Linked DNA regions of Alligator mississippiensis. The protein of the gene in region 3 purifies or fractionates together with the protein of the main gene of each other region. This does not show direct contact. Links are inferred from orthologs where the notes say so. Each region holds a gene or a part of one and is shown on either strand. Other genes may lie near its edges.

The links. The genes of interacting proteins can lie anywhere in the genome.
Region 1: the proteins of HNRNPA1 (region 3) and ILF2 purify together in Homo sapiens (affinity purification with mass spectrometry; 4 studies listed by BioGRID and IntAct, with this or other methods). This does not show direct contact. The link is inferred for Alligator mississippiensis from reciprocal best matches to the Homo sapiens genes HNRNPA1 and ILF2.
Region 2: the proteins of HNRNPA1 (region 3) and HNRNPC purify together in Homo sapiens (affinity purification with mass spectrometry; 8 studies listed by BioGRID and IntAct, with this or other methods). This does not show direct contact. The link is inferred for Alligator mississippiensis from reciprocal best matches to the Homo sapiens genes HNRNPA1 and HNRNPC.
Region 4: the proteins of HNRNPA1 (region 3) and DDX28 purify together in Homo sapiens (affinity purification with mass spectrometry; 3 studies listed by BioGRID and IntAct, with this or other methods). This does not show direct contact. The link is inferred for Alligator mississippiensis from reciprocal best matches to the Homo sapiens genes HNRNPA1 and DDX28.

Annotation. Positions count from the first base shown.
Region 1 is NC_081838.1:13,197,783-13,205,011, reverse strand, and holds the start of ILF2 (interleukin enhancer-binding factor 2), read right to left. Parts: upstream 3,014-7,229; 5' UTR 2,926-3,013; coding exon 2,921-2,925; intron 2,665-2,920; coding exon 2,608-2,664; intron 2,145-2,607; coding exon 2,102-2,144; intron 984-2,101; coding exon 879-983; intron 478-878; coding exon 400-477; intron 171-399; coding exon 68-170; intron 1-67. Other genes in the region: NPR1 (atrial natriuretic peptide receptor 1), read left to right, coding at 5,195-5,891. UniProt on the Homo sapiens protein: Chromatin-interacting protein that forms a stable heterodimer with interleukin enhancer-binding factor 3/ILF3 and plays a role in several biological processes including transcription, innate immunity or cell growth.
Region 2 is NC_081830.1:3,830,602-3,838,328, reverse strand, and holds the start of HNRNPC (heterogeneous nuclear ribonucleoproteins C1/C2), read left to right. Parts: upstream 1-4,714; 5' UTR 4,715-4,822; intron 4,823-5,987; 5' UTR 5,988-6,144; intron 6,145-6,422; 5' UTR 6,423-6,448; intron 6,449-6,454; exon of another isoform or gene 6,455-6,873; coding exon of another isoform or gene 6,874-7,087; intron 7,088-7,727. Other genes in the region: probable G-protein coupled receptor 132, read left to right, coding at 1,654-2,541. UniProt on the Homo sapiens protein: Binds pre-mRNA and nucleates the assembly of 40S hnRNP particles. Interacts with poly-U tracts in the 3'-UTR or 5'-UTR of mRNA and modulates the stability and the level of translation of bound mRNA molecules. Single HNRNPC tetramers bind 230-240 nucleotides.
Region 3 is NC_081838.1:7,977,963-7,985,600, forward strand, and holds the start of HNRNPA1 (heterogeneous nuclear ribonucleoprotein A1), read right to left. Parts: upstream 3,009-7,638; 5' UTR 2,951-3,008; coding exon 2,918-2,950; intron 2,724-2,917; exon of another isoform or gene 2,631-2,723; coding exon of another isoform or gene 2,616-2,630; intron 2,273-2,615; coding exon 2,156-2,272; intron 1,051-2,155; coding exon 904-1,050; intron 298-903; coding exon 87-297; intron 1-86. Other genes in the region: CBX5 (chromobox protein homolog 5), read left to right, coding at 3,222-3,311. UniProt on the Homo sapiens protein: Involved in the packaging of pre-mRNA into hnRNP particles, transport of poly(A) mRNA from the nucleus to the cytoplasm and modulation of splice site selection.
Region 4 is NC_081833.1:45,274,317-45,282,220, forward strand, and holds the start of DDX28 (probable ATP-dependent RNA helicase DDX28), read left to right. Parts: upstream 1-4,891; 5' UTR 4,892-4,911; coding exon 4,912-6,570; 3' UTR 6,571-7,904. Other genes in the region: DUS2 (tRNA-dihydrouridine(20) synthase [NAD(P)+]-like), read right to left, coding at 2,661-2,772. UniProt on the Homo sapiens protein: Plays an essential role in facilitating the proper assembly of the mitochondrial large ribosomal subunit and its helicase activity is essential for this function. May be involved in RNA processing or transport. Has RNA and Mg(2+)-dependent ATPase activity.

The sequences.
Region 1 (7,229 bases), about 5.2 Mb from region 3:
AAAAAATGAAGTGAGACATTGGAGTGGTTCTGACTGCCGCACCCGATCAGGAGCAGAGGACACTTACAGGTAGGCAGGATTTTCAGGATCACCACCAAATCAGCTACATTGTGCCCTGTCGTCATGGTGCCCTTCTTGTAGGATCCCACCTGGCGGACTTCTTCAATTTGCTATTTCAAGAGAACAAGCCAAAAAAGTTAATACAAGCCAAGAGCACACAACTCAACTTCACAGCCTCCCTCGAGAGGGAGCCTCTAAGGGCAGGAGCAAAGAAACCAACGCTGTAAAACTGATCTGCCTCATCAGGACAAGGAGACACCCAACCAGACTAAGGCAGCCTCCGAAGAGCTGCACCAACCCTGCAGACCTGGCACATCTCGGCAGACAAGACTGACTCACCACTTCAAAAGTTCCTGGCGCCACTATCAAGTTGTCAATCACGTTGTTTATTTTAGTCACCAGAGACAGGATGGATGCCTGAAAAATAAGAGAGCACGCGGTGATGGCAGCAGCAAGTGACCGTTTCAACTAAAGCTGAGATACAAATGCATGCCTTTGTCTCAAAGGCTGGGAAATTATGGGATTTGGATAATCCTGAGACATGCAGAGGAACAGACAAGTCAGGAAAAACAGATTTAAAACCACTTTCCAAGCAACATAGCCCTTTTCCATCCTACAGCAGGCTGGAATTAGCACCCAGCCATGGTTCTGTCCCTTGGTCAAGTCGAGAGACATGCAAAGCTAGGTCTCCCTTTGCAGGAAGATCATTTCTGGTGTTTGTTACAAAAGAGTCTACACTGAATTAAGAGTAACCTAGCACCAGTCTGAGTTCAGGAAAGTTTTCCATAGGAAGCACATGGGAAGCAAGCTTTATTAACCTGCTCGGCTGCAGTTGGAGCCAGATCCTGGTTTCTCTTCAGCAAGGCTTCACTGAATGCCGTCTCATCAGCTGCAGGCTTCACGCGAGGGAAGGCCATCTCACACTGCAACAGGAGCAAACGTTAAAGCAGCAGCTCCACAGTGATACAAGATCTTTGGTGCAGCACTTAAGAAGAAAACAAGCTTATCCTAGTTTTCCTCTCCACTTTCCCTAGTAGCTTCCAAATACATTTTCTTGCTTACAGCCTTTTGGACACGGCAACCAGGCTGCACATTCTATTTCTACTAGGTTCAGTGGAGTAAAAAGAACTTCCCTTCCTACCCACATCTTTACCGAGGCTCCAGCATCAGGAGCAGGTCTCTGAAAACTGCACCTTAGTTACCAGAACCTGCAGCAAGGCATTTATGCATGCTCTGCACAGAAGCTTTTTTAGTTTACAAGCAACAAAATGACATAGAGAGGTAGGACTTAAAAGGTATATCTCTAATGATGGATCCAGCTGAGTACTAAAAGGCAGTAAAGCATCTGAGACCTATTAGATGACATACCGAATTTCCTAATGAGACCCTGTAGTTACTCAAACCGCTTGAATTGTTGCAATGGGAACAAAGATCCTGGCCTTGTAAGGCAAGGAAATGGTTAACCCATTTTCCCTGAGAAAGCCACACCTGTGTGTCCCTACACCAGACAGGCTCAATGAAGGAAGGAAATGAGCTCCTCCTCTTCCTCCTCTATAAGAAGACAGAGAAGAAAGTCATTCCTGTTTAGGCCACACAGAAACCAAGACCTGGAGGAAGGCCAGACTCTACTGCTCTGGGAACCTGGCTAAGGTAATGCACACTTTGGGCTACTAGCTGCAGATCTGGGAGAGGATTTTCATTTCCTGTTCCACTCTTTAACAGTGGGATAGGTTGTGATGCATGTTAGTGATAAACACCAAGGCTTTCCATACTACACGTCTTCAACCCTCTGTCAAACGCTGCATGGACACTGCCTCAAAGACCTACTTGCCTCCCGCTCACTTGAGCAGGCCAAGAATCAGACGTACATTTTTGGTTTTGAAACTCACTATTTCCTATGGCCCCACAGGATGTTCTGCTATTACATTCCCTTTCTTAAAAGAAACAAGCAACTTTTTTTACTTCAACAAAGTGTTATTTCCACTACAACCCTGCTGCTGTTTTATACAGCCGGCACCAAGCACTGCGAGAGGTTACTTACCACATAGAAGTCAAAGGGAATGTGTGGCACGAAGGGCCTGAATCTAAAAGGAAAAAGTGGGAGAAAATGGAGGTGAGTTCTCATTATATGCAAAGGACAAGAATATTCCCCCCCCCCCTGCCTGGACAAACTTTTGAGAAGCTTTAAAATGGGTGACTAGACGCATCCCTCTCCCTAGGAACCTAGGCTGGAGAAAAATCAGAACTGCCTTTGACTGGGTCAGACCACAGGCCAGGTCCAAGCTGCGCAGCCTCCCGTCAGAGGGGCAGAGAGCGGAGCTGGAAGGGAGAGCGAGCTGCATCTGACCAGCGTTTTTACCGCTGCTCTCTCGCATGCAGCCTCCAGCACTGAAGGTCTAGGAAGCTTCGCTTCTCACAGAGGTTTAGGGCAGGAACAAGCTAGAGGCTGTTGGCCCTGCAGGGCCCCCTTGGCAGCCCCTCAAAGTGGGGTCCCAGGCTAGGGAGGCAGCGCTCCCACCAGCACCCTCTAACAGAGACGGCGCTCACCCGCTGCCAGGGCCCCTGGACCCGAAGCGCCCGCCACGGCCGCGACCTCGATCACCCCTGGGAGAGAGAAGAGGCAGTGAGTCACAGCTGAGCAAGGCCCCGAGCCCCTGCCCCTACGGCCAAGCCCTCTACCCCCTTCATCCTCCCCGCGAGGCGCCCCCACCCCCCTTCAGCCCTCCCTTGCATCCCCCGCACTCACCCCCTCGACTGCAACCCCTGTAGGGCACCCCGTCCTCCTTCCCCGCCCCGCCTGCGGGGTCCTCAGCCCCTCCCCACATCCCGACCCCCCCGGGCCTCCCTAGCCGCCGCTCACCTCATGGCGCCCGCTACCCCCGAACAATGGAACCCGCCGCCGCCGCCGCCGAGAAGAAGCCGCCGGCCAGCGCTGTCCACTCCGCAACAAGCGGCCCGGCGATTGGTTCTCGCACAGCCAACCGCGGGCTGGTATTTTCGCTCGCTGTTTGGCTACTGGGTTGCTTCCCCATCTATCTCAAACGAGCCAATCGGAGAGGGAGCGCTGGGCCAGTTACAGGCCCGGGGGGCGGGAACAAGAAGGCGGCCGTTGGCGAGCGGGCCCGTGCTACTGCGCATGCGTCTTGCAGGGCGCGAGCGGGGCCGCAAGGTGGCGCGGGACGTGCGTAGAATGGGTGCTGGGTGGCAGCTCATGGGCGTCTTCGCTGCGCATGCGTGAGTGGCTGGAGGTAGCCTTATATGGAGTCATCAGAGCTCTGAATTCAAGCAGCAGAGTGGCGCAGCGGAAGCGTGCTGGGCCCATAACCCAGAGGTCGATGGATCGAAACCATCCTCTGCTAGTTGTTTCTTTTTTGCTCCTTTTGGGTTAATTAAAAAGCTGGGTAATTAATTAATTAGCTGCTTTTCATTAGTACCGCCTGCCTGCTTTTTCCTGCTGTCCTATGCAGCCTGAGGGGCCTCCCCACACCTGGGGGGGGCACATCCAGGGAGCACGTGCTCTCCCATACCAGGGAGGGGGCAGAAACAACCCACTGTCCCAGGGCCTGCCCTGCCATCCCTGGTACCCCCATTCCTGGGGGTGCTGCTGCCCCAGGGCTAGGCCTGCTCCATGCCCCTGGGCTCCGGGAGGCCCTGCCTGGGCCTTGCCACCCTTGTAGCCCCCCAGCTCTGCCCCCCAGGTCATGGTGCCCAGGCCCCTGCTCTCCTGGGGGCAATGCCCTCCCTGACTTGTTTCTCATGACTGCCCTGTCTGCCCAGAGAAAGGGTGGGCAGGGGTCTCAGGACCCTGCCCCAAAGAGGCAGCGGGTGGCAGGGACCCCCTCCCCATGTGTCAGGGCCCCCACCTACCTGCCCTGCTCTTTACCTGGGTAATGGGCCCCATTAGTGCCCCGGTCACGGGAATGCCCGATTGTGGCAATCCCATGTCCTGCACTAATGAAGCTGCAAAAGCACCTCCACTTATCCCAGCTGCCAGGGGGCGTGACCCAGCAGCTCCCCTGCGGGAAAGCGGGCTGGCAGGATGTGCCCAGGTCAAGGGTGCAAACATGTCCCCCAAGAAGCTTGCCTGGGGTCAGCCGGCAGGGCAGGATCTGGGCTGTCAGGGGTGAGTGCATGACCGGCTGCTCATGGCACCCCCCCAGTGGGGCCCGATCCTTGGCCCAGGCCGCTGGGGTCCACCCTGAGCAGAGCAAGGGAGAGGGCTGGGGGCCACCTGTCATCCCCTGACTCAGGCAGCTGGCACTTGGTGGAGTGGCATAGAGCCTGGCAACACTGGACGGGGGAACATCTTGGGGCCCGGGGGCTGTTCCAGGATAGGGCAGGATCAGGCCCCCAGCTGCTGGGATCAGGTCCAGTGTGGTTGCGGGGGCGGGTGCTGCATGCTTGGTGTTTTTCACCCATCGGTGTTTTTCCAGCTGGATCAAACCCTTTCCCCTCCCCTCGTCCCCCCCCCGCCCCGGCTGGGGCAGGCACTGCCAGTGTGGGCCATGGTGGGTACCGAGGTCCCAAGGGGCTCAGGGGGGGTCAAGTGGGATACACCTGGGAACCCCCAACCATGTGCAGAATGAGCCCACTGCTCCCGCTCCACCCCGGCCCCCCAGCTGCCTCCTAGCTGCCAGGATGAAAGGGGGGAACAGATTCCCTCCCATGCAACCCCAGGGCTCCCCCAGCCTGCCCCATCCCCTCCCCCAGCCTGGGGGGCCAAAGGCACCCACTGTCCCATAGCCCCCACTACCCCCCACCCTCCTCTCCTCTAATTATGGCAGAATGCCCTGGGGGGGTAATGCATACAGCCTGCATCGCCCCCCTTTGTACCCCCCCCCACCCCATTAAGATGATAGATTTGCCCCTCGGGGGGCATCTCTTCCTGCCTCCCCCTGCGGGCACGGGGGCGGGGCAGGCCGGCAGCTGCAGGCAGCAAGGGGTTAAGGAGCCGTGCGATGATAACAGCCCTTTTGTCGTTGAATGAGGGGAAGGAAAAGCACTGCCTGCCCGGGAGATAATCAGTCGCTCGCTGGCGCGGCACCGAGAAGCAGCGCCGGGTGGCGGGGCCGTGGCAGGGCGCGGGGGCGCGATGCCACAGGCCTAGGGCAGGCGTGGGGACGGCAGCGACGCCATGCGGCGGGCACTCGTGGCACTGCTGGGCGCGCTGCTGAGCGCAGTGGGTGGGGCGCGAGGCCACGACGCCAACCTGACCATGGCCGTGGTGCTGCCACACCGCAACCTGAGCTACCCGTGGGCCTGGCCCCGGGTCGGCCCGGCCATTCAGCTGGCCATGGAGCGGGTGAACCAGCGCCCCGACCTGCTGCCGCGGCACCGGCTGCAATGGGTGTTCGGCAGCAGCGAGGACGAGCACGGCGTGTGCTCCGACTCGGCCGCACCACTGGCCGCCGTGGACCTCAAGTGGGCCACAAATCCCAGCGCCTTCCTGGGGCCCGGCTGCATCTACGCCTCAGCGCCTGTGGCCCGCTTCACACGGCACTGGCGCCTGCCCCTGGTGACGGCGGGCGCCGAGGCGCACGGCTTCGACGACAAGGCAGACGTCTATGCACTGACCACACGGGCTGGCCCCAGCCACCGCAAGCTGGGCGCCTTCGCTGTGGCCCTGCAGCGCCACTTCAACTGGACACGCCACGCCATGCTGGTGTACTGGGACGACAAGCTGGATGACCGGCCCTGCTACTTTGCCATCGAGGGCATCTACGTGCAGCTGCCCAGCTTCCACAACCTCACCGTGCTCGACATCCCCTTCAAGGACCAGGACAAGGCCAACTACACCTTCCTTGTGCAGGAGATCAAGAGCAAGACACGGAGTGAGTGCCCCCAACCCCTGCCCCATGTGCCCCACAGGCCCCAGGCCCACTCTGCGCAGTGAAGGTTTGCCCCAGCGCCCCAGGCCAGGCTGGCAGTAGGGGTCAGGGTACAGGTGAGAAGGGGACACATCTGCCGTGACCAGGGTTGGGGAGACCGTACTTCTGCCTTGCTCCTGGGGGGCTCGGGAAGAAGCAAAGCCCCACATGGGTCAGGGGGCAAGTGCATCCCCCTTCCCCGTTCCCATCCCTCCAGGGCGGGAGCTCCCAGCAGCTCCCCCAGCCTCCAGGATCGGGGAAGGGAGCAGCCTGAGGATTGGAGAAGGGGGCATCCTCAGGGAAGGGGTCAGCCCCCCAGTCCCAGCTGAGGTGGGGGGGCCAGGCACAGCCAGACGGGGGTGCACCCAGGGCTGGGCACCCCCATGGCTCCTCCTTTCCCCCCCGGACCCAATCCTGAGTTGTTGGCCAGCCCTTGGAACGTTTCCCCCGATGTCCCTGGGCTTTGGATCGAGCCCTAATGTGGTACAAGAGTGTGTGTGTGTGTGTGTGTGTGTGCGTGCATGCGTGCGCACGCACGTGTGTGCATGCACGCACAACAGTGCACACAAACAGACATGCCATGGCAGAGCCCTGTTGCACAAGCAAAATTGGTGCCAAGTCCCCTCCAGTCTCCATTACCCCTGGCATGTCTCGGGTGTCCTGGCAGAGGGTCCCAGCCCTGACATGAAGTGGGAAGCATGATGGAGCCACCCGGAGCCCTGGGGGGAAGCACAGAGCCATGATGGGTCCCCGGGGTCTTCTCGGGGTTGACCCCCCAGGGTCCTCTCACTAGCTGCTGTCACTGGGACCCTCCATTGCCCCACCCTGGGCACCCCCTCCCTGTCCACCCCCCACAGCTGAGAGCCCCATAAACAGCTGCAAAGCTGGGGCAGCTCCATGGCCACGGAGCCTCGCGCCCCTGGGTTTCCACTGGGCCCTGTGGAAGCCATGGTGGAGGGAAGGGCGAGCGCCCGCCCAGCCCATAAATCACGGCAGGATCTTGGCAGTGGGAGAAGGAAACAGAGTCCTCAAAACAGGACGTGGCAGCCACAGGGCGGGCAGGCAGGGCAGGGCAGGCCACGCCGCACGGACCGGCCCTGCTGCAGCCCCGGGGGGCACGTGGCCCCTCACCCAGCTGGGCAGGAACACGGCGTCCGCGCGGCAGGACAATAACAGGATGTTCCCTGCGTGCTGGGCTGGGCCAGGGGGGCAGGGACGGCTCTGCTCCCCTCTGTCCGGACACGGCCCTCAGCCGCCCACGCTGGCATGACCCTGAGATGCCCACAGCGGTTCCTGGCACAT
Region 2 (7,727 bases), on a different chromosome or scaffold from region 3:
CGCTAACCTTGGCGGCACCGCAATTGTCTGCAGCCCATGGAAGTGCAGGGGGTGGACCAGGCTGTGATAGCGCTCTGCAGCAATGAGGCACAGGAAGCCATTCTTGGCATAGAAGTTTGTGATAGCGGGGGTCGGACCCGATGATCTGTTTAAGTCCCTTCCGACCCTAAATACTATGCTTCCTTTCCCCTCTCTTCCCCTGAGCTCCCAGGGAAGCCAGCAGGACCCTGCTTGATTTCCCCAGCACAGCTCAGAAACACGCTGCCTTAAGTATCTGCGTTTTGCTTGGTTTTGAGAAGGTTTTTGGCATGATCCAGTCTGACAAATTCTGGCCAAACTCTATGATGCTGACTCCTGGGGCCTCCAGCTGATGGGGAAATAAGCAAAAGGGGAATAAACCATGCAACAGATAGGCATGGCAACATGGAGAAAGGGGTGAGCGAGGTCTGCATCCTTATGCTTTCATAACTCAATGCAGACACGGAAAGCGTAATAGAACCGTGCTCCAAAAATTCCAGCGCAGGACCCAGGCATTAATGGGATTTATATAAATGTACCTAATATATGCAGATAACCTTGTTTTAATAGCTTCAGCTAGAGCAGACCTCTAGAATATGCCTAGTGCTTGTACTATCAGGACAAGGCAGAAAGAAAATCAGACAGAAGGAGGCGGAGAGCCAGCTATGTTGGCAGCGCTGCAAGACAGCGTCGGGTCCAAAAGAAGGCAGGTACGTTACAGCTCTGCCATGGCAGCAAATGATGGGAAGTGGTGATCTGTGACTTGGGACTGGGAGACAGATGGAACCGCAGTTTCCCAGGAACGTGAATGCAACAGCTGCATTTCCGCCAAAGTTCCTGAGGGAAGATGCGAGCAAAGCCCAGGGGTTCAAGCTGTTGAAGACTAGCCTTGACAGCTGCTCTCCCTGCATTGCCCCTAAAACACCTCAAGATGATTGCTCATGCTGTTGTGCAGGGGGCTGTCTAGAAATCTCGCTTCCGCTGCTGCGAGTGACTTGCTTTGCTCTGCCTCAGCTGAAGCCACCTTTACTTAGTGTTCAGCAGAGATGCAGACAAAGCAAGGGCTCTTCTTCCTTCCCCAGCTGTGAGATGCTCTAGGGAGGTCACTCGGCCAGAGCGAGAAAGCCCTCCGCCAGTCCCGACCTTTGTGCCTTTAATTTCTGCTTGGTTTGCTGAGGTTTGCAGGGATTTCCTTGCTTTTTAGAGTGAAAAATAAAAGGAAAGAAAAAAAATAGCAAGTCATTGCAGATCTGATCAGGCAGCCCAGCTTGGCTACAGCATTTGTTGCAGAGGACCAGATCCCAGTGTGCAGGCTATGAAATCCTGACCACTCAGCCTGATAAAGAGTGGGTGAGTGGGGGGAGTTGTGTGGTCTGCATGTGCCCCCAACCCTACCGTATCCAGATTTTTTGTGTCTTTTGTAGATCCCTTGAGGAACGGGGTTTGGGAGTCCATAAAGTGACTGTGCTCCCTCGGCGAGGCAGCTCCCTTGGAGAAGCAGGTGAGGCGATCTTCAGGAGCAGAGCTCGAGGCCCTCCTTCCTGTGGGACAGGGACTAAGGCTCTTGGCAGACACCCCGTCCTCTGCTAGGGCAGAGAGTACATCATGAACGACAACAACAGCTGTTATTGCCCCATGGCTTTTAACACCACCAAGTACTTCCTCGTTCCCATCTACTCCGTGGTAATAGGGACTGGCTTGCCTCTGAACTTCTTGGCACTCTGGGTCCTGGTGTCCCAGATCAAAAAGGCTGTGGTCCTTTCGGTCTTTGTGATGAACCTGGTGGTGGCTGACCTACTGCAGACCTTGACACTGCCCTTCTGGATCTACTACAGCTACCAGGATCACCGCTGGGACCTGGGGGAGATCACTTGCATGGTGGTCCACCTGATCTTCCTCACAAACTTCTACGCCAAGAACAGTTTCCTGTGCCTCATTGCTGCAGAGCGCTATCTCGGCCTGGTCTACCCCCTGCGCTTCCACGGGCTACAGACAATGCGCAGTGCTGCCACGATCAGCGCAGCCATGTGGATGATGGTCATTGGCTTCTGCTCCTTGGGCAACTGGCTGCAGAACCTGGGGCCAGACCGCTGCTATGACTGCTACCCACAAGTCATAAAGTACGTCCGTTTCCGATGGGCCGTCTTGAGCATCTCCTTCCTCCTACCCTGCTTCTTCATGGGTTTCTGCAACATCCAGGTCCTGTGCAAGATTAGACAGGTGTCATCCCTGGAGCAGGAGAAGAAGCAGCACATGTGCTGGTTTATGTCCTTCATCATCATCTCCTTCTTCCTGCTCTTCCTCCCTTATCAGGTGAATTTCTTGTTGAAGCGCCAGATGACGTCACCAGACTCTGACACGTGTCATCTGGAGAAGAATTTTTTCACTTACAGCCAGGTGGCAAAGAGCATCCCCACATTGGGCAACATCACAGATCCCCTTCTCTACATCCTGCTCCTCAAAGAGGGGAGGGCAGAGCTCAGGAACTGCTTCAGAAACATGGTCTTGAGATCAGCGTCGTAACAAGGTCAGACCCAATGCCACCATCCTCCTTGGCAGGGGCAGAGGTGCGTGTAGGGACTGCCCTGGGTAGGATTTTTCAGGACAGTCCTGAGTGGCAGGGCTGCATCTGGGCATACGTGATGACTACCTGATCCACCCCAACTTGGGAATGCTGGCCCTGGAGTGGCCCCAGGCAGCGTCCCCTTGCATCTGCTGAGGGGGAAAGCCCAGTGCTGCCTGCAGCTTGACTGCCCCAGGGGAGAGGGGGCCATGGCTTTGCTCCAGCTAGTCCACTTGTCCCCCTGGTGACACCCGGACATGGCTATACTAATTAGTTCTGCTGCAGTGGCATATGCATGTAGCCATGCTACTTCCAGCAGCTGCCTCCTGAGCGAAGAGCAGCTCTGTGCCTCTCAGCAGAGCCAGGCAGCCTGGCCACAGCATCGCTGTTATAAAAACCGGAACTAGAAGCGGTGTGAACAGCTTCTGCTTCTGAAAGACTTGGGGGCGGGGCGTGGGATAGCGGTCTGAATTTCGACCACATTGGAGTAGGGTTGGATGGATGCCAGCTCAGACCTGCGTCTAGACTACTGGCTATGGGGGCACGAGCCTATCTGTTTTTTGAGGGTTCATCTGTCCAATCCTGGTAAGGCAGCAAGTGCCAACCAGCAGTCGGCGACCACCCACAGACACTGCTGTAATGGCAGGCAGCGGCGTCCGCGGGCTGCCCACAGACGCTGCCGGCAGTGTCGGCAGCAAGCAGTGACTGCCAGCAGTTTTGGTGTCGCCTTTGGGTGCACCGCTACACTCAGGGGGTGTATGCATCGCCAGTGATTGTGCATCGCCAAATTAAAGTAAAAATGCTTGGATCTTTCTGCCTACTGGCCTTGCACCTTCACAGGGCACGATTTTCAGCCGTTCTCTGCCCCGGGAGGGCTTAAAATTGAGAGTTTAGTGTCATCACCCGATTCCAGAGTCAATAGCTGTGCGGGAAGGACTGGTCTCTTGAGAGCTGGCAACACTGGACAGGCGCTGTGTGAAAACCAGTGATGGACTGGGATCTAGGGGAGATGGTTGAGAGGCGATAGAGAGCAGCTGGTCCCTGCAGTGCCAGGCATTGCCTGTTTAGAAAGGGACCAGGGAAGTTCTTGGAGGAAAGCGGCGGCAGCAGCTATTGAGCAGGGGTGCAGGGCATGTGTACACATTTGCTTTCATGTGCATTCGCCTGCTTTATTGCACATTAAAGCATCACAAAAAAGCTGTGCACTTTTGCTAATGTGCATTAAACGAATGTGCCTGTTCCAGTAGCTCTCAGTGGAGGTACTAGATTTAATGAACATTAGCAAAAGCGCATTAATGAACGTGGAGAAGCGCCCTAAGCGCCGGACGCTGCAAGAGGGAGGGAAACCCCTGGGCAGACCCAGTTCACTCGCAGCCCCCTCTCTCGCCCCACCCCCTCTGGCAAGGGTATCAATGATTTCAAACTGGCCAATGAGCGTTCGGGAAAGGCAGCGCCCAGCAGCGATTGGCGGAGACGTGACCAATCCGCGCCAGCCCTCTCCCTTCCACCGAACGCGCCTTGCTCGACAGCCGGCGCCGGTCTCTGACAAGGGGAGTGTGGGAGGGGAAGACAGGAGCCGTACGTCATCCCCCACCGGGACCAATAGAAAAGCGCCCATGCCAAGGTCCTGGCTGCCAGTCACAAGCTCCGCCCCGCTCCCTGGGGCTTTTCCCGCGAGTCTTTCCCTGTTCATCCCGCCTCCTCGACTATAGCCTATAAGAGCTAAAATTACCGGGGAGTGACAGAAGTTCCAGCCATTCAGGGTGGATCGATGCAGAGAGGTGGGCCCGTAAAAGGCTTAATGACCAATCACAGAAAGACATGAGGCAGGGGCGGAATCGAATGTGCCGTTCACCCAATGAGAAAAGACTGCGGCGTGGACTGACAGCAAGTTTAACCAAGCAGAGGAGAGTGTTGGGCTGCGGGAGTAGAGCGATGGGAGCAGCAGCCAGTGGTTGCTTACGCCCCCACTCCGCCGAGGCAGGGGGGGTCGAACCCGCCGTTTCCCACCCCTCAGAGTTTCCTCTCTCATTGGCCAGTAGCAGGATTGACTTCTTTGCCAGCCAATGACAGTGAATAAGGCTGTTCCCTCTCTTCCAATGGGGGCGGGGACGGGGTGGACTCGGATTAGTCCGGGCTGAGCGGTGCAGAGGGCGGCGTGGGCGCCATTTTGTGAGCAGCGCGGAGCCAGGAGGCCGCGGCGGGAGCGCGAGCGACTCGAAGTCTGAGCGGGGCCTAGCGGTGAGTCTGTCGTTGCTGCGCCGCTGCACGCAAGGCTGAGCTGGGACAGCGCGGGGCCGCCCCCCCGCGGTGTGCTCCGCCTCCCCGCGCCATTTGGGGGTAGCGGACCCCCCCCGCCCCTCGGCGCGGCTCTGCCCGGCCGGGAGCGCGGGGGAATCCCGCCCCTCCCCCGGCTTACAATGGTGCAGTCCAGGCACCACAGCCTGTTCTCCTGGGCGAGACCATCGCGGGGCCAGGGGGGGAGCCGGGGAGAAGAATGGTACGGCTCAGACGGGAGAGACCACCATGGCGGGGTGGAGGGGATGATATCGCTGAGGGGCGGCCGGGCGCGGGCTGACCAATGGGAAAACGAGGAATCCGCCCCCCCCCGCGGGGGGACAATGGTGCGGCCTGCAGAGCCCGGTTTCCCGCTTCTTTGGGACAGACCAATGGGCGCGCAGGGGGGGGCTGGCGCCTTCACCTCCATCCCCACCTCCCCCGCCACGCGGCAGTGGTCTCGGCCAGGTGGGGGTCTGGCTCCCGGGGCCTGTGCTGCAGGGGCACGCGGCCTGGTGGGCGGCAGCTGGAGCAGAGCCTCGAGTGGGCAGGAAGAAGGGGCTCCTGTCTCGGCCTGCCGCTCTCTGCCTGCGCCTCGGCCCTGCATGCGGATCCCTGCAGCCAGAGGGCACGGTCCGGGTCCGGCCCCCGCGGGCCTCACTTCTCCCCCTCCCCCCCCTTCCACCAGGAATAGGCCCCCTCGCCTTGCCTCGCCCCCTGTTCCCTGCCGTAGGTAACGCCGGTGCCTCCGGGGAGGCGTCAGCGTTGCATCGCGTCCTGGGCTGGAGCAGGACGCGTGCCCCCGCAACCCCCCCGCACCCTCAGGGCAGCTTGAGCTCCAAGGATCCTCCGTCAGGATAGGCTCGCATGACACTTCCCCCCTCCCCGCCTGCACGATGCACCCCCCCCATTCGAATCTCCTCCTGCCGCCGTGCTTGACGTCTGAGCTGCTTCCTTGGAGACGGAGGAGCGGAGCGGAGGGGTTAGCGCAGGATTGGTGGCAGGAGCCCTAGCTTGAGCGCTCGGGGGTCCCTGGAGGCAGGCAGGCCTTTCTCGGGGCGGGGGCGCGGGAGGGGCGCGCAGCGTTTCCGAGGAACCCTGACTCAACCTGTCCCTTCTCCTTCCACAGGGCAGCGAGGCGAAACCCCATCCCTCCTCACTGGAGCTCAGCTTCGTGTTAACCCCCTCCCCCCCCCACACACACACCTCCCCATTTTATAGAGCCCTTTTAACAGTGCCCCCGGGGCTCAGCGCTCCCCGCGCCACGCTGGAGCTGGATTTAAGATGTAATTTTGCAAAGTGTCTATTTTTTTCTGCAGCAGCTGGGTTAGAGAGGAGGAGCCTTTTAGCCCCTCATGAGCTGACCTCTCGGGTATTTTTAGAGTGCAGTGGTGGTGTGCAAAGGGCTTTGATTGTCTCCTACCAAGAGCTCTCCCCACGTGGCTCTGTGGTAACCACAGAGCGCGAGAGAGAGGGAGAGAACAGAAATGATCGTTGCTGACTTGACCTTTCGGCACCTCCCGTTTTTCTAATCTGGGCTATTTTTATTTTTGTTTTTTTACAGCGAGATTTTTTTGATCTTCAGCTACAGTAAGTTATTCCACATTTTTTTCCATTTTTCCTGCCTTTCCACTGATTTCCTTTTTATTGTTGTTGCTAGTTACTATTACTATTATACTACTATAATGCTGATGACTTTACTATGCTGATATATTACTGATGGTGATGATAAATGACACTGCTGATTTTTAACCAGATGAAATCGCGTTTTTCTGAGTGTTCCTGACTGAGCTGGGTTTTTACCCTTTGTGAGAGACAACAAGGTTTTTGCATTTTTAAAGTGGATTGATCACGCTAACTCTTTTTCCCCCCCTTGACTGCTGAGATTGGGACCTGGTTTCTCCTGAACTGTTTTAGAGCGTCTCTGGAAGTCTGTATTTTTATTTTTTCTTTTGTTTTTTTTATTTTTTTATTTTTTAATCTTTCGTTTGTGCCATTTTTAAACTTGCTGCCGTATGATGTCTGTGGTGCTGATCGCCTGTGGTGGCGATGGCCCTTCCCCAACAGCCCCCTCCTCTTGTGCCCCCAAAACCCTCCTCCTGCTCTCTTCCTCTACGCCGTCCTTCCCTCAAAACAACCCACCACCACGCCACGGACACCTGGCCTGGAGCGGCAGCAACAGCCAATGGAACCGCCCGTGGAGCAGATACAAACCCATCCCAGGCGATGGTAAGAGGTGTGAGGCCAGTAGATTTCACTGTGAGCTTTGGCCACCAGAGCCACAGGCCCAGGCATGGAGGAGTCCCCAGCACAAGGATCCTGTGTTATACCGCAGGCCTGGTTTAGGGTTAGAAGCACCATGTCACAACTGTCACCTTGGCTGGCAGAGCTGTGTAGGAGCGTGGTGGGAGCCCTGGCGCTGTGGCCTTAGTGCTGGGAGAATAGACCCCGCAGGGAAGGCCCGGCTATGGGAACCGCAGCGGCTCTGCAGAGCTGGTGCCCCACGTGCCGTGAGCAGTGCTTCAGGAAGACATCTGGGTTTGACCTGGACAAAGGAGGAAAAAAAGCCATGGGAGTCTTGTTCCCCTGCCTTTGGGCAGGCTGGTCCCCTGCTAAAGGGGAACCTTCCACCTCCTGTGAATGTCCTTCTGCCTGCTTCCCCCTCCCTTTCCCCAGTGAGGAAACCATCTCTGAGCACAGGACACCACATGAGACCTAGAACAGTGCATAGAAGCATGCTGTCCCTTGTAGTGGGATGGCAGGTCAGGCCTGGAGCCGTGTGCAGGAACAGCGTATGTCTAGAAGGCTTTCTGTGTTTCCGTGCTGTGTCTGCAAAAGCAGCAGGAGCTTGAGCCACCAGTGAGGAAGA
Region 3 (7,638 bases):
CTCCATGTGACTGACAAGTCTGACCCGCCCTTGAGTATCCAGGCAGAAAAGCTGGGTGGGACTGTAAGAGCCAGCCAGGTACTTACTGACAATTTTGTCCACAGAGTCGTGGTCATCGAAGGTGACAAAGGCAAAACCTCGCTTTTTGCCACTGCCGCGGTCTGTCATGATCTCAATCACCTCGATCTTGCCGTATTGCCCAAAGTAGTCCCGCAAATGGTGCTCCTCTGTGTCTTCCTTGATGCCCCCGACAAAGATTTTCTTTACTGTTAGGTGAGCACCAGGCCTTTGAGAGTCCTGCACAGGACAGAGAGGAAATGCATGAGGGAAAGAAGCATGACACAAGCACCCATTCTCTATGCAATAAAGGTGGCATCACATGGACCAGAAGCACATAAGTCACAAACCAGTGCATTGAAACTGGCTGCTCTCCTGTTGCCTGAAGGAGCACCTGGTGGGTGGTTAACAAATCCCCACCTACACCAGACCCCACAGTAAGGGGAAAGGGCTAATTCTCAGCCATGTTCCAGTGCAAAGGTGCCCATAAAGGCACAACTGGGGATTGAAATTGAGATGGAAACTGCAGCCCACCCCAAAACCACAAGCAAGATGGGGGAACTTTGTAACCCAGTCTTTCCGTGAGAAATAGCAGAGACCACCTTCCCACCCCCCCCAAACACAGCCAATGAAACAACAGGCTGCAGAAGCTACCTCGGGAGGAATCGTTCACAGCACAGAACGTAAGGAGCTAGAGCAACTCCCATAAATTGGAGCATGCCCAACCAAGTCTCAAATGACCAGAGCAGCCACGCAAATGAAGGGCTCCACTGTTAACTCAGCCTTGGTACAAGATGGAGGAGCACGCTTATCACCGACTCACTGGACTAGTCTTGTTGTTCCTACCTCTCTGGACACAGCCCTCTTTGGTTCAACAACTCTGCCATCGACTTTGTGCGGTCTGGCGTTCATGGCGGCATCGACTTCTTCAACGGAGGAGTACGTGACAAATCCAAAGCCCCTGGAACGCTTGGTGTTTGGGTCCCTCATCACCTAGAAAACACAAGTCTCCATGAGCAACCCAGCAAAGACGACACAAGTGCACAGAGGGAAACCTAGAGAGAACATTAACTGGCATTTCAGAACAAAAATACATATAAATGCATGACTAAGCCAACCCGATTCGTTTTAAGCTGCAGACAGAAGTGCAGCTCCTAGCTGTAAACTCAACTTGCTGCTTAGCAAGAATCTTCTACATTACCCCAAACCAAACAGAAGTTCACTGTTAGTTCCAGGGCGAGGGGAATGGAGGTGCTTTCCAACACCAACAGCCAGAACTCTGCCATTGCTGTTTGCATGATGGGAGGGGGAAAAAGGCAGCAGAGAGAGCTCTTCTGGGGGCACCCAAGCTGGTACTGAAGGGTTGGTGGACTAATTGGTGTGCCCCCACCCAGGGGGGGGGGGGAGGGGGGGTGTTTCCTAATACATCCACCCCATACTCCAGGGGGATGGAAAACCCCCCAGACTGAACTCCCTGTTCCCTTCCCCCCTCCCAATCTGAAAAGGAGGGGCTGGGAGCTCTGCAGACACAAGTTACACAAGGTGCTACATTTTGTAACGTCTTTATCCGATTCCTCATGCAATAAACTGCTTTTTGTGGCCAGAGGAGAAAGGTGTCACTTGTCCGCACCCTTATAGCACATTATATATACTTAAAAGTAATTATTTGCACAAATAAAGGTGATAAAAACACCCACTCTATTTTAATAGGTGCTAATCTCTCTGTAATCAGTTTCTTTTCTTCTGCCATTTGCCTGCTACCCCTGGGAACTTTTCTCCCCATTTATCCCATATGCGCTGTTGGCTTTTACTCAGACAGGATGCTGTTTGCGCTTGTTTAATCACATCAACGGCAGTGCATCTTTAACACCACAAAGGCAGCTTAAGGAAACCCATCCAACAACCCCAAAGCACCAAGGCTTTCAATACTCCATCGGACCAAGGCTAGGACAAGAAGACCCCGACCAATTTTCAGTCTCCTCGAGTACAAGTGCCACACGAGCTTATCTACCCCCCACCTTTCTCCCACGCAGGAAGAATATATAGCAGCTCATTAAATGGGTTTAACTCAGCTGAGGGGCCAGCCCGGGACACCCACCACGCAGTCGGTGAGCGTGCCCCATTGCTCAAAGTGGCTGCGAAGGCTCTCGTCTGTCGTCTCAAAGCTCAGACCGCCGATGAAGAGCTTGCGCAGCTGCTCGGGCTCCTTGGGAGACTAGAGAGGAATAGCAGGGAGTGAGCGGGAAACGAGACCTCGCAGGACTGGGGGCTAAGCTCCCGCCCGCAGGTACCCCAAACCCGCCCCCCCGCCCCTGCCGAGCCACGCGGGAGCCCCGGGAGAAAGGAAGCTCCGGCGCATGCGCAGTCGCCACGGCGCGCCGAGCACAAAGGCGCCCGCCCGCATGGCCCCGCGCGCCGCGCATGCGTCGTCCGCCCCGCCGGCCACGCAAGCCCACCCCCACTTGCGCAAGCGCAAAAACCGCTCGGCGCCCTCCGCCACGCAGGCGCAAACCCCAACGGGCGGGAGGACCCCGGCGGACGAGGAGGCCCCGACGCACCTCGGCCCTGGACATGGCGGCGGCAGCAGCGGCGATGCGGGCTCCTTGAGGTGCCGGCTCCGAAAGGGGCCGAGCAACGCCGGCGCCACCGCCTCACCCCGCCGGCGAGTTCCCATTGGGCGGCAGCCGCTGCGCCCCGCCCCCCTCACCGCCTCCTATTGGCGGAATCCCAGAGGCTGCAGGCTCTCATTGGTGGAAGAGCACCCGCGCCCTCCCCCATTGGCCAGGACAGAAACGATCCCGCCCCCGATCATGGCGACCATGCGCAGAGCCCCGCCCCTTCCCCCACCCCCCGCGCTCACCTTCTTTCCCGCTCGCGGCTCCATCCGCTCCATCGCGGGTCGCCCTGCTCCGCGCCGCCGCCGCTACTACCTCACGCCGGGGTCCGGGCACAGGTGGGAGCGGGGAGGCGAGGCCGCGCGGACTCCACCAGGGCGAGAAGCCGCGCCGCGGTTCAGACGCGCTCTAAGAAGAGGCCGGGGGCGGGCTCGCGCACGCGCAGCAGCGCGCGGGGCTCGCCCTACTGCGCAGGCGTAGCGGTGGGGGGGGCGGCACCTAGGAGGGAGGGGTCTGGGCGCTCATGCGCGGTGCGAGGCTCGCCGGCGCATGCGCGCTCGCGGGCTGTTTTGGCGGGCGGCGGGCGTTGCGCAGGAGCGGAGTGGAGAGGCAGGGGTGCCGGATCCGCTGCATCCCGAGGTACCCGGGCGGCGGCGCGGTCCGGGGGCTCGTTGTATGCAGTGAACGGGGGAGTGCGGGCGGGCTTGACAGACACGCGCGTGGGCCAATGGCGCGGCGCGTTGGCTCCGGGGGGGCGGGGCGGAGGCGCCGTTGCCTGAGGAGAGCGAGAGCAAGGCGCGGGGCCGTGAGGGACGGGCAGCTCCGCCAATGGGGCGGCGGCTTCGGCACCGGGGAGGGGCGGGGCCCCGCCGGCGGACGGGCGACGGCGGCGCCCAATGGCCGTGCCGCTTTTCTCCGCGCGCGCCTGGAACGCGGCCGGATTGGCGGGAGCGCCAGCGGCGCCGGCCAATCGGCGGCCGAGGTGGGGGGGGCTAAGCGCCCGCCCCGCTGCCCGTTACCGAGTTACCCCCCCCACCTTAGAATGGATCCAGGCGTTCGATCCTCATTGTGACGTCGGGGGGGTGGGGGTTACCGCACCGACCACGTGGGTGCGGGGGAGGGGGGGCTGGGACCCTGTTTGGACCCGCATACCCACGAGGGACCCCCCCCCCCCCACCATGGCCCTAGGTCCCCGCTTTAATGCGTCCGAGGAGCGGGGGTTGGCTTCCGGTTTGGGGCTGGGGCTGAGTGTCGTTCTCGTGCCAATCTCCAGGGCTGGTCCTCGCGGCTGGATCCCCACCCCTTTCGGGAGAGCGGAGCAAACACCTCGCTTGTATGCCGCTAACGGGGGTGGGGGCTGCTCTTCGTAGGCCAGGGGGAACTTTGGCCCACCTCCCTCCCCCCCCTCCCCAGCCGGTTTTGCAGTGGGGAGTAAGGGTTGGGCACGTGGGGCGATGCCTCACGAGGGCAGCGGGTGGGAACCCCGCCGCGTGTCGCAGCTGGAAATCATGTGCGCGAAGGCTTTGGGCGGCTTTGGGGGTCCTTGGCACCACGGCTGTAGCACGGATGGGAAAGGCTCCGATTGGGAGACCTTTTCCTTGTATTGAGGCAGCGGGGGGGGCGGCGCTGGGGAGGAAGGGAGGTCCTGCTTGGCTTGCACAATAGCATGGGGGCCGTCCACGGTGGAAGCTTTTCTGGCCTTCAAGCCAGAGCGAACACCAGTTGCTTCCCCGCCTCCCTCACACGAGGCCTCGGAGCATGGGCGCTGCTGGTGGAAGCTGCGGCCATCTCGTACCCTGGCTGCAGCGCGCGGCCCCTTGCAGCAGATCAGTGCGCTTTGCAAATGGAGCCAGGGAGGTGAGACCACAGCTCCTCGGCCAACAACGAGCCATGAGCTTTCCTTCCAGCTGGACCAGACGGCCAGGTACTGACGAGGGGCCTGGGCTTAGCCTTGGAGGCCTCCTCTGGTCCCAGAGCACGGCGAGGCGAGATTGCTGCGTTTTTTTAACGCTTCCCACCCCCAGGGGATGTCTAGTCTGCAAATGTGGCTGTGGCTGCGGCCTCTTACCCAGCTGCCCCCTACAACGCTCCTGTGTATGTGACTTCTCTTTGTAATGGTTCCAGTGGAAAGAAGCACTTGGGTCCCAGATGCGTTGCAGTGGCTAACAAGGGGAGCCTTGTGTTTAAACAGAGCGACTTGGAGAGCCGAGAAGGGGAACGGGCTCCGTGCAGGAGCAGACTGGGTTTCTGCCCCCCGGAGGCCATAGCAGCGGAGTCCCCCTGCCTGCGCCTCAGCCTCGTGCTTCTCTAGCAAGCCCCGGCCTGAGCTTTAACAATGGGCGGCGGTAACTTCAGCCCGACCGGCAGCGGGGTTTGCCTTTAGGCTCCGCTGGGATGAACGGGGAGCTCCTGCTGCTGAGCCATTGTCTGCCTGGCTAGACTGCTGCAGCAGGGCTCGGCTAGCCTTGCAGTATCTTAGTAACCAGACGGGCTGGCAACTGCAGCTGTGTCAGACTGGGAGGGGCTGGTGCTGCGTGGAGACCCCGGCAGGCTCCTGCTGCCTCTTTCTCCCAAATTAACCAGGGCTGGTGTGTGCGTGCATCTGCTGTGGTCCTGGGTAGTTGGGGTGGCATCAATGGGAGGTGATGGATCAGTTGAGGCGAAACCAAAGGGCCTCAGCTAGGTGAACTCTTGCATTCCTGGGAGGCTCCCTGCACTGTCCTGCCTGTGCGTTGGTCTGTGGCCTGGCCCAGAGGGGTTTCGAGCCGTGGCTGGGGTTTTCCATGCCATCGGAGAACACATGGGACAAAACAGATGAGTCTTGGGAAAGATGCCAGAGGCTAAATCCTGCCCTGTGCAGAAGACCCAGCGCTCTGGGCTTCAGCCATGTCTGCTGCCACGGAGCAGGATTGACCCCCACGTTTTGGTGGCCTCTCCAAGCCACCACCTCTCCAGGTGAATTAACTGCCCGTCACCAGACCGTGCTGGAATCTTGCCTCCAGCAATAAATACGCCCTCATGTTGAATGCAAGCCCCTGGCGCTAATGAGACATTTAAGGTTGGTTACACAATTAAAAGGGCAGGAAATTTCAGCCGTGGAGTTTCCGCTGGGAACATTAACTCTGCTGCATTGCGCTTTCGCGACGCTTTCAGGGAGCACGGGCGAGTAAAATAGTGACCTCCGCGCTAAACCTGAGCTGGGAGCGTGGAAGATGGATGCGATGAGGAATCCGGCTAATATTGCTGTTGGAGCCTTCGCTCCCGCGTTCCTCGCCTGAGCGTCCTGCCCTTCCCTCCTCCGCGTTGTAGCTGTACATTGAATTTCCAATGCTCTTTTTCTTTTTAACAGAAAGGGGAGGGTGTGAGAGGAACAAAGGAGGCCGGGAAGTGCCTTGGAACTGGAGAGCCGGTAGGAGCTATCCCTAGACCAGGCAAGAAGGAGCTTTCCAGCAGGGCCAAGTTCATCCATCTCAGAGGCATTAGCATGATCCAAGGGCACACGGGCCATTTCCCTCCACTTCAAGCACCTCCGTTTATTGAAGAGCTCTTCCTTTCTTCCTTGTGGGAGAAAGGGTTGTCCTGTGAACCCAGGTAGCGAGCACCTTGTCCAGCCACACTGCCAGCCCCTGTTTGAGAGCCTGATGGCTTTTCTGAGCCTGTAACAAGATGTGCGAGGGACCTTCTTCCACAGGAAGCTGGCCAGATGGGGAAAGGAGTTGCTTGCCATATATCGTGCTAGACACCTCCTTCATCCATGCCTAGACCAGGAGGAATGTTGGTGCCTGTTAAGCAGCATGTGCTGGATTGGTTAAATTAGGCTCCCCATAAAACTATCTAATATGCAGTGGCTCTGTGGTCCAAGCAGGGAATGGGGGATTTACTTGGATACTTTTGTCCCTAGGTAGAAGAAAAGGGGTGGGCGGGTGTTAGTGATCCTGTTAACCAGTGTCACTACCCTATAGCAGACAAGGGAGCTGTGGTTTTAGCGTGCTCCCTGACAGCCTAGGCACCCTCCTTTTTGTATAGACTTTGTGCAACAGAGTCTAAACCCAGTCTGTCTTGCTGGCCCTCAGGCTTCCCTGGATTGATCCTTGCACAGAAGCTGTGGGGAATCCCAAGCTCTTTAAGAAGGGAAACGCCTTGGATTAAAATGTCTGGTGCCTGTGGTGGCTCCAGGACTTAGCTAAATTCTCTGCTTGTAAAAAGGTGTCTTAGTTCTGGCCTGTATTTCCTTAGCTTCAGCTTCTGGCTCGCTGTCCCCTTGTCTGCTTGGTTGAGGAGTCCTTGATCTTAGCGTTTCCAGTACCTGGGTGGGTATCTGGGGTGGTCTCAATCTTCTTTTGGGCTCTTTGCTCTCATGGCAAGGCGAGGGTTCCCATCCTTCAGTCGTTCTTATGGCTCTTCTCTGAGCCATCTCTAGCTCAGCGCCCTTGACCGGTGGTCCCCAGCCTGCACGCGGTGTTCCAGCACCAGTCACTCCAGCACCAGGTAAGGATCTTGTAGAAACAACTTGCGGTTCCTCTGCCCTGTCTGCCACAGGGTTATATTGGAGGCACTTGCTTTCAATGATTATCCTCGATGCCCCAAGTCACTGCTGCCAGGAGAGAGCTCATCCTGTCAGTACAGCCTGTATTTGTTCCTTGCTGTTAGCCACAGCCCACCACGGTCCAGCTGCTGCCCTTGCGATGGAGCCCCCCTTGATATCAGCACTCCATCCCCAACAGCTCCCCCTTTGTCGCTTATCTCGGTTTTTATTTTGCCCGCAACATTTTATTTCGCATTTCAGATCATGGTTGCGTTTCCTTCCGGGCGTGAATAACCATGTTAAATCATCTGCATGCAGTTCTGGTCCCCCACGCCTCAAAACGGATATGGTTGAACTAGAAAAGGTCCGGAGAAGGGCAACCAAAATGATCAGGGGCATGGAACAGCTGCCAGACCAGGAGAGAGGCTTAAAAAGGCCAGG
Region 4 (7,904 bases), on a different chromosome or scaffold from region 3:
TGAAAGTTCAGTTATCCATAGCACTACCACTAAGAGAGACGGGCAAAATGTAGAAGTACCTAAGATCAACTTATGTTACCTTCTAATGTAGTCATTGTGACTGACTGTGCAGAAAGACTACCGAACTGCAAATCCCCATCCTAAAGAACTCTCCCCCTGCACCATAAGACATTCTTGCGATGCAAATCATAATAAAATATAAAAAACACAGCCAATAAGACTTGAAAAAAATCCATTCATTCTTGGTGAGTAGGAAGCTTCTATGGAAGATTTGGTCTTTACAAGCTTTCATTAAAAGGGTTCCTTGCATGAGTGCAAGACATTGTTATGCTGTTGCTTTAAACCTGCCTATAGACAGCTCCAACAATGCCAATGCAATAGCATCGGCATCATTTTGCTCAGTCTTGTTTCCGTTTCGCTGTTTTCTCCCCAGGGCAGTGAAAAATAACATTTCAACATCACTGATGCACCTTGGCCAAGCAGCAACTAACAGCAACAAGCCAGTGGCATTTAATGAAAGCCTGCTCTACAAACTTCTGCATTAACTGAGGAAGTCAGGTCAGCCAGCAGGAATTTTTCTTCCATCAGAACTAAACTAGGTCCCCCACAAAGTGGGGAACTAAGCTAACAAAAGCTGCCTTCTGCTGGCAGAGCTGCATCTGCTTGGGAGTTTTGTCAGCAGAGACACGTCAGCCATGTCCATCAATCTTTTCCCACCCCTAACAGACATAACTGTGCTGACAGAATTTTGTAATGTAGGGTCACTGCCCCATCAGCAGGTAAGAGAATAACACAGCTAAAACCCCACCTTGCAGAGAGGCAGGTAAGAGAGTAGCATAGTTGAGAGCCCACCTTGGAAAGTGCCAGGTTAGAAGATGCAGCCATCATGTAGCAGGTTACAGTAGCGAAGTACACTCAAAACAACTGAGTGTCATGGCTGGAAAAAAGTGTTTCGGGGTACAGGTTGTAGCCATGTTGGTCTAAGGACATAGTCAGACAAGGTTCTTTGGGTAAATCCAATATCTTTTATTAGAACCACTAAAATAGTTGGGAAAATTCTTTTTTCCAAGCTTTTGGGTACAAACACCCTTCTTCAGGCTGAACCCAAACAATGTTGTCTGCCTATGTCCTTAGACCAACATGGCTACAATCTAGACCTATGAAACAAATAAGATATGAAATTTTGCTGGAGAAAATTGTGGTATTTTTACTTCACACCAGTGAGGAAAGAGCAATCTTAAAATTAACCACTGGTTAAACTAAGCCCACCAGGGGATGGGGGGGACTATTGCCACTGCTGGCCCGTTGAGCAACCCTTGCAAAGGCAGCAGGTCAAGGCACTTAAAGGAGCCCAGCCCTGACTAAGCCCTGGAACGAGCTGTGGGCAAGGCAAGGGCCCCTAAAGAGACACTTGTCTGCCTGTACACAAATGCCAGGAGATTGGGGAATAAACAGAAGGAACTTGTCTGCCTGCTTAACACAAATAATTATGACGTCATAGGGATAACGGAGACCTGGTGGGCATCCACCCATGACTGGACTGTACAGGTATAGATGGCTATACCCTGTACAGGAGAGATCAAGTGGACAAAAGGGGCCGGGGTGTAGCTCTTTATGTCAAGGAAAGCTACGCATCCCTGCAAGCCGGTAAGGGGGCAACCAGGGTGGATGACTGGAGACCCTCTGGGTTAAAATCTGTGGGGGAACACAGAACAGGGGACACAATGGTGGGAGTCTATTACAGACCTCCTACCCAAGATCAATAGCTTGACCAGGAGTTCGCCAGGGAATTGACTGAAGATGCATGCTCCCAATGCATAGTTATCATGAGAGACTTCAACTACCCAGACATCTCGTGGGAAGAGCGCTCAGCCAAATCAGAGCGGTTGCAAAGCTCTCTCGTGTGTGGATGAGCTCTACCTGACGCAAGAAATCAACGGGCCGACGAGAGGTAAAGCGCTGCTTCACCTGGTACTGGCTACAGGGGATGACCTAATCAGCGACCTAACAATCAAAGGGAAGCTGGGTGGCAGTGATCATGAGCTGATCACCTTCACCATCTGCCAGAAAGCTGGCAAGTCAGTCAGCAATACAGAAGTCCTCGACTTCAGGAAAGCTGACTTTGACAAGCTCAGGAGGCTTGTCAGTGAGACCCTAAGGAATCATGACCCAAAGGGGAGGGGAGTTCAGGATGAGTGGTTGTTCCTCAAGGGAGCACAAGCTAAATCTATTCCGTCTCAGAGGAAAGGCAGCAAAAGAGCACAGCAGCCCCCTTGGCTCTGGAGGGAACTAGCAGACCTCCTGCATCTAAAAAGTAAGACCTACAAAAGATGGAGGACTGGTTCCACCTCCAAGGAGGAATATTCTGCACAGGTCCAGACCTGCAGAATACAAGCAAACCAAGAAAGCCAAGGCTGCAACTGAACTCCAACTAGCTACAAGTACCAAGTACAATAAAAAGTCCTTTTTAGATATGTGGGCAGCCTGAGGAAAAGCAAGAGCAACATTGGACCCCTGCTAAACCATGGGACAACTGACAACCGACACACAGGAAAAAGCCAACTTGCTAAATGGGTACTTTGCATCAGTTTTTCACCAGTTCCAAGGGGCACCCCTGCCCATTACAGGACAGGAACCCCTGGGTGAGGATGATTCCTTACCCTCCATCAATGCTGACCTTGTGAAGGAACACCTTGAGAGGCTGGACACCTTCAAGTCAGCCGGCCCCGACAGCTTACACCCCAGAGTACTCAAGGAGCTGGCAAGCATCATAGCCCAGCCCCTGGCACGAATCTTCGAGAACTCCTGCTGCTCTGGTGAAGTGCCTGAAGATTAGAAGAAGGCCAGTGCGGTGCCTATCTTCAAGAAGGGTAGGAAAGTGGATCTGGCAAACTACAGGTCCATCAGCCTGACCTCTATTCTGGGGAAGATCTTAGAAAAGATTATCAAAGAAAGAGGCCATTCTTAACAGACTGGCTGATGGCAACATCCTGAGGTATAGCCAGCACAGGTCTGTCACAGGTAGGTCTTGCTTGACCAATCTTATTTCCTTTTACAACCAAGTGACCTATCACCTGGACAATGAAGAAGAGATTGATGTCATATATCTTAACTTTAAAAAAGCCTTCGATCTGGTATCCCATTATCACCTCTTGGCAAAACTGGCCAACTGTGGCCTCAGCTTCACCACAATCTGCTAGCTGGGGAACTGGCTTTGTGGTTGGACCCAGAGGGTGGTGGTTGATGTAAGTCAATTGTCGTGGTGCACAGTGACCAGTGGGGTCCCTTAAGGCTCTGTCCTTGGGCCTATACTATTTAACGTCTTCATTAATGATGTGGACATTGGTATCAGAAGCAGACTGGCCAAGTTTGCTGATGACACCAAACTCTGGGGTAAAGCGTCCACACCTGAGGATAGGAGGGCCATCCAGGCTGACCTTGACAGGCTCAGGAAATGCGCAGATGAGAACCTGATGATGTTTAACACCGAAAAATGCAAGGTTTTTCACCTTGGGAAGAAAAACCCACAGCATCCTTATAGGCTCGGCAGTGCTATGCTGGCTAGTACTAGACGAAAAGGTCACGATTGACCACAAGACGAACACGAACCTTCCACGTGATGCTACGGCTAGTAAAGTGAGCAAAACACTGGCTTGCATCCATAGATGCTTCTCAAGCAAAGCCCAGGACGTTATTCTCCCACTGTACTTGGCCTTGGGAGGCCACAGCTAGAGTACTGCGCCCAGTTTTGGGCTCCATAATTCAAAAACGATGAGGAAAAGCTTGAGCGAGTGCAGAGGAGATCCACATGCATGATCAGAGGTCAGGAACACAGACCTTATGATAAGAGGCTGAGAGCTATGGGACTCTTCAGCCTTGATCAGGGGTGATCTGGTGGCCGCCTATAAGTTTGTTCACCAGGATCTGGGGGAACATCTGTTCACCAGTGCCCCATTGGATGACAAGGTCAAATGGTCACAAACTCCTTCAGGACTGCTTCAGGATGGACGTAAGGAAGAACTTCTTTACTGTCCAAGCCCCCAAGGTCTGGAATAGCCTGCCACTGGAGGTGGTTCAAGCGCCTACTTTGAACACCTTCAAGAGACATTCAGATGTCTATCTTGCTGGGATCCTATGGCCCCTGCTGACTTCCTGCCCCTGGGGCAGGGGGCTGGACTCGATGATCTTCGGAGGTCCCTTCCAACCCTAATGTCTATGAAATCTACTTACTAGCTAGATACCAGCAGGAACGGCAGGACCACCTGTAAAGAGAATGGAAAGACGAGCTGGGCATCAACCTTTCCTTTTTCCAGAGCGCAGCAAATCTCATCAGCAAGTGACCCGCCACCCTCATCTTTCCTCCTGGCTTCAGGCTTTGGAGGGTATCAGCCTTGGGGCTCTGAGATGCAGTGCAAGAGTCTCACACAAGCAACAAGGTTAATTAGGGGGCTCTTTTGTCAGTGGGGGCCGCGTGCGACTGAGGCACCGGCTCTTTAAGGTAGGCAATAGCTGAAGAAAATAAGGGTCGGAGAGCCGGCGGGGGCCGCGTTTTGGTTTTACTGAATTTACCCAAGTGGGGGGAGTCGGCTTTTCAAGCAAACGAAGCCGGAGCTGGGACTAAAACGGAAGAGGGGGACGCGACTCTCTGCTCTCGCACCCTTTGGAGCAGGGGCGTTCAACCTCCGGCCCGCGGCACCGTCTCCCGACGGGGGAGCCCCAGGCCCGCGCTGCCTTTAGCACCGCATCCCAGGGCCCGACCCCGGGGCAGGGGGGAGGGGACTTGGCGCGCGCTCACCTGCCCGAACCCGGCCCTAGCTCTCACGCCGCAGCACCCGGTCACCGCCGCACACTGCGCATGCGCGCCCGCTGAGTGCGACAGCGACGTCATCACGCGGCGCCCGCCACCCCCACATGAGCGCGGCCATGGCGTTGAGCGCGGTGCGAGCGGCGGTCCCCCGGGGGCTCGTGCAGCTCGTGCTACTGCGTTGGGCTCGGAGCTGGGCCGGGGTCCCGGCCCCGGAGCACGTGGTGCGGGTGCCCTGGGCTGCGCGGCGGCAGCAGCAGCAGCAGCAGCGGCGGCGGCGGCGGCGGGTGGCGGCGGCGGAGCTGGCGGTCCCGACGCGGGCGGGGAAGCTGCTGCTGCGGAGCCGGCGGCGGGAGCTGAGCCAGCCGAGCCGCCTGACTCTGGGCCGCTGGGAGGCGCCGCGCCTGGTGTCGGCGGGCTGGAAGCACCGGCTGTCCTGCGGCGACTACTTCCAGCTGGAGCGCGCCCAGGACTTGGCGCCGGCGCTCGCGCCGCCGCAGGCCGAGGGGGGCGACTCGTCCTTCGGGGCACTGGGGCTGGAGCCGGCGCTGGTGTCCGCCCTGGACGCACTGTCCCTCAGGCGGCCCACGGCCGTGCAGCGCCACACCATCCCCGTCCTGCTGCGTGGCCGCCACGCGATCTGTGCCGCTGAGACGGGCAGCGGCAAGACCTTGGCCTACCTGCTGCCGCTGCTGCAGCGGCTCTTCGTGGGGCCCCGGCCCCAGCTGCACTCGGGCCCGGCGCCCAGCCCCCTCAGCCTGGTGCTGCTGCCATCACGGGAGCTGGCGGAGCAGGTGCGCTCCGTGGCCACCTCCCTATGCCGGCCGCTGGGACTGCGGGTGCGGGAGATCGGCGGCGGCCGGGGCATGGGCAGCGTGAAGAGGCAGCTGTGCGCGGAGCCCTCCCTGGATGTGCTGCTGGCCACGCCGGGGGCCCTGTGCAAGGCGCTGCGGAAGCGGATGGTGACCCTGGAGCAGCTCAGCTGCCTGGTGCTGGATGAGGCCGACACCCTGCTGGACCCCACGTTTTTGGAGCTGGTGGAGGAGGTGCTGGCGCATGCTCCCCTGACCTGCAGCCCCCAGGATTTGGCTGATCCGTGGGATGTCAAAACCCAGCTGGTGGTTGTCGGAGCCACCTTCCCTGGAGGCCTGAGCCGGCTGCTGAGCAAGTTTAGTGACATTGGCCACTTTGTCAGGCTCGTCAGTCAGAGCCTGCATTGCCTCCTACCCCACATCCAGCAGAAATTTGTCCGGATCAAAGGTAGAGACAAAGTGTCTGAGCTGTTGCAGCTCATCAAAGTCCGGAGCCCTTCCAGTGGAGCCCTTCTGGTCTTCTGTAACAAGGCCCCCACGGTCAACTGGCTCAGCTACATCCTTGATAATCACAAAGTCAAGCACCTGAGACTGCAGGGCCAGATGCCTGCAGCCATGAGAGCAGGTATCTTCTCTGCCTTCCAGAAGGGAGAGAAGGACATCCTTGTCTGCACTGATTTAGCCTCCCGAGGACTGGATACTAGCCGCGTGGAGCTGATAGTTAACTATGACTTCCCAGACACCCTGCAGGACTATCTCCATCGGGTAGGGCGTGTTGGGCGTGTGGGTAGCCAGAAGTCTGGATCTGCAATTAGTTATGTGACCCATCCATGGGATGTTGACCTGGTGAGGAAGATAGAGACTGCAGCCCGGAGAAGGACTAGTCTCCCGGGTATGAAGACCTCCATTGATGAGCCTTTACCTGAAACAGACTTGACTCAGACTGCCAAATAGCAATGAATTTTGTGTTTGAATTAGACTTAGGCTCCTACTAAAGGCTTACTGTTATATTTAATACTGGCAATCTTATGTTTGTGACCCAGAATGTAAATGTTATAGCCAAAGAATTTAAGCTTTTAGTTGCGTCATGACCCTAAGGTGTATTGATTCATTTCAGTTGTAGCAATTACTTTGCACTTTTGCAAAATCAAATTGTAGTAACATGCAACAGGTAGTTAAAATGCTTTTAGGGAAGGCTTGAAATAGATCAAAAGCAATGAAATTGAGAGAGTCAGTTTGTTCAAAGCTCATTAATATTCAATTTGATGTAAATCAGATGTATCTGGATAAAAAATAGGTTAGGATTATGTAGTCACTATAATCCTGAAAATTATATTTCATTAATGTTCTAGTATAGGTGGCTAGCTATGTTAGCCTGATGTCAGGCAGAAGGTAGGGCGGGGCAGCACCCTTGGAACTGGTTCAGAGAGGCATGAATTTTCACAGTGATCTGCTGTGTCAGATGCTAGGAAAGGACTCCCATTTCTAGCTCACTGTTTCTACCTTGCTAATATTGTATCGGAACAGCCAGAAGGTAAGCAACAGCCAGGAACTGAATATTAGGTGAAGGTTAAAATAACAATTATTGTGGAAATATGTTGCCTCTTCCCTCAAGTGTATTAAAGGTTATATATATCTGTTAAAGTTTATATAACTATTGTAAATTAAGGCTTGTTTATCTCCAGCACAGGTAGGTGTAGTGGAAGTTTCTGGACCATAATCTAACCTTCTATCTGAACTCTGACGTTGCAGAAAAAAACATCTTCCTTAGTCTTACAATGTCTGTACAATACAGATTGAGAAATTTTTTCCTGGAAATACACACCAGGTATTTCAAAAGTGGAGCTAGGACACAATGGAAAGAAAATAGAAGGGAAGTGCTGGTTAAGCAGTTTGTACTCCAAGGTTACCTCCCAGTAGTACATTTGTAGTATTTTATAGGTTGAAGAGAGAGGCCTTTCACGCTTTTTTATTAAAGTTCTTTTGCTTGTTTTTTATTATATATTCAGGCTCTTTAATTGTTGAAATGTTAGGGTAAGTAGAATCTCCGTGGCGAGAAGAATGTACCTCTCAGAGTGCCATTCACAAGTAGATCAAAGCACTGTATAAAGGGGGGGTCATAGATAGTGCATTAGGCACCCAGAGATGAAATAACTTGGCCACAGTCACCAAGTAGGCCATTGATGGTTGGAAATAAGATGTAAGTTCCATGAATCCAGCTGTGGCACGCTGATACTTAACACCTAAATAAAACTCCTCCTTTGTCAAAAGGGTTGGAGTCAAAACTG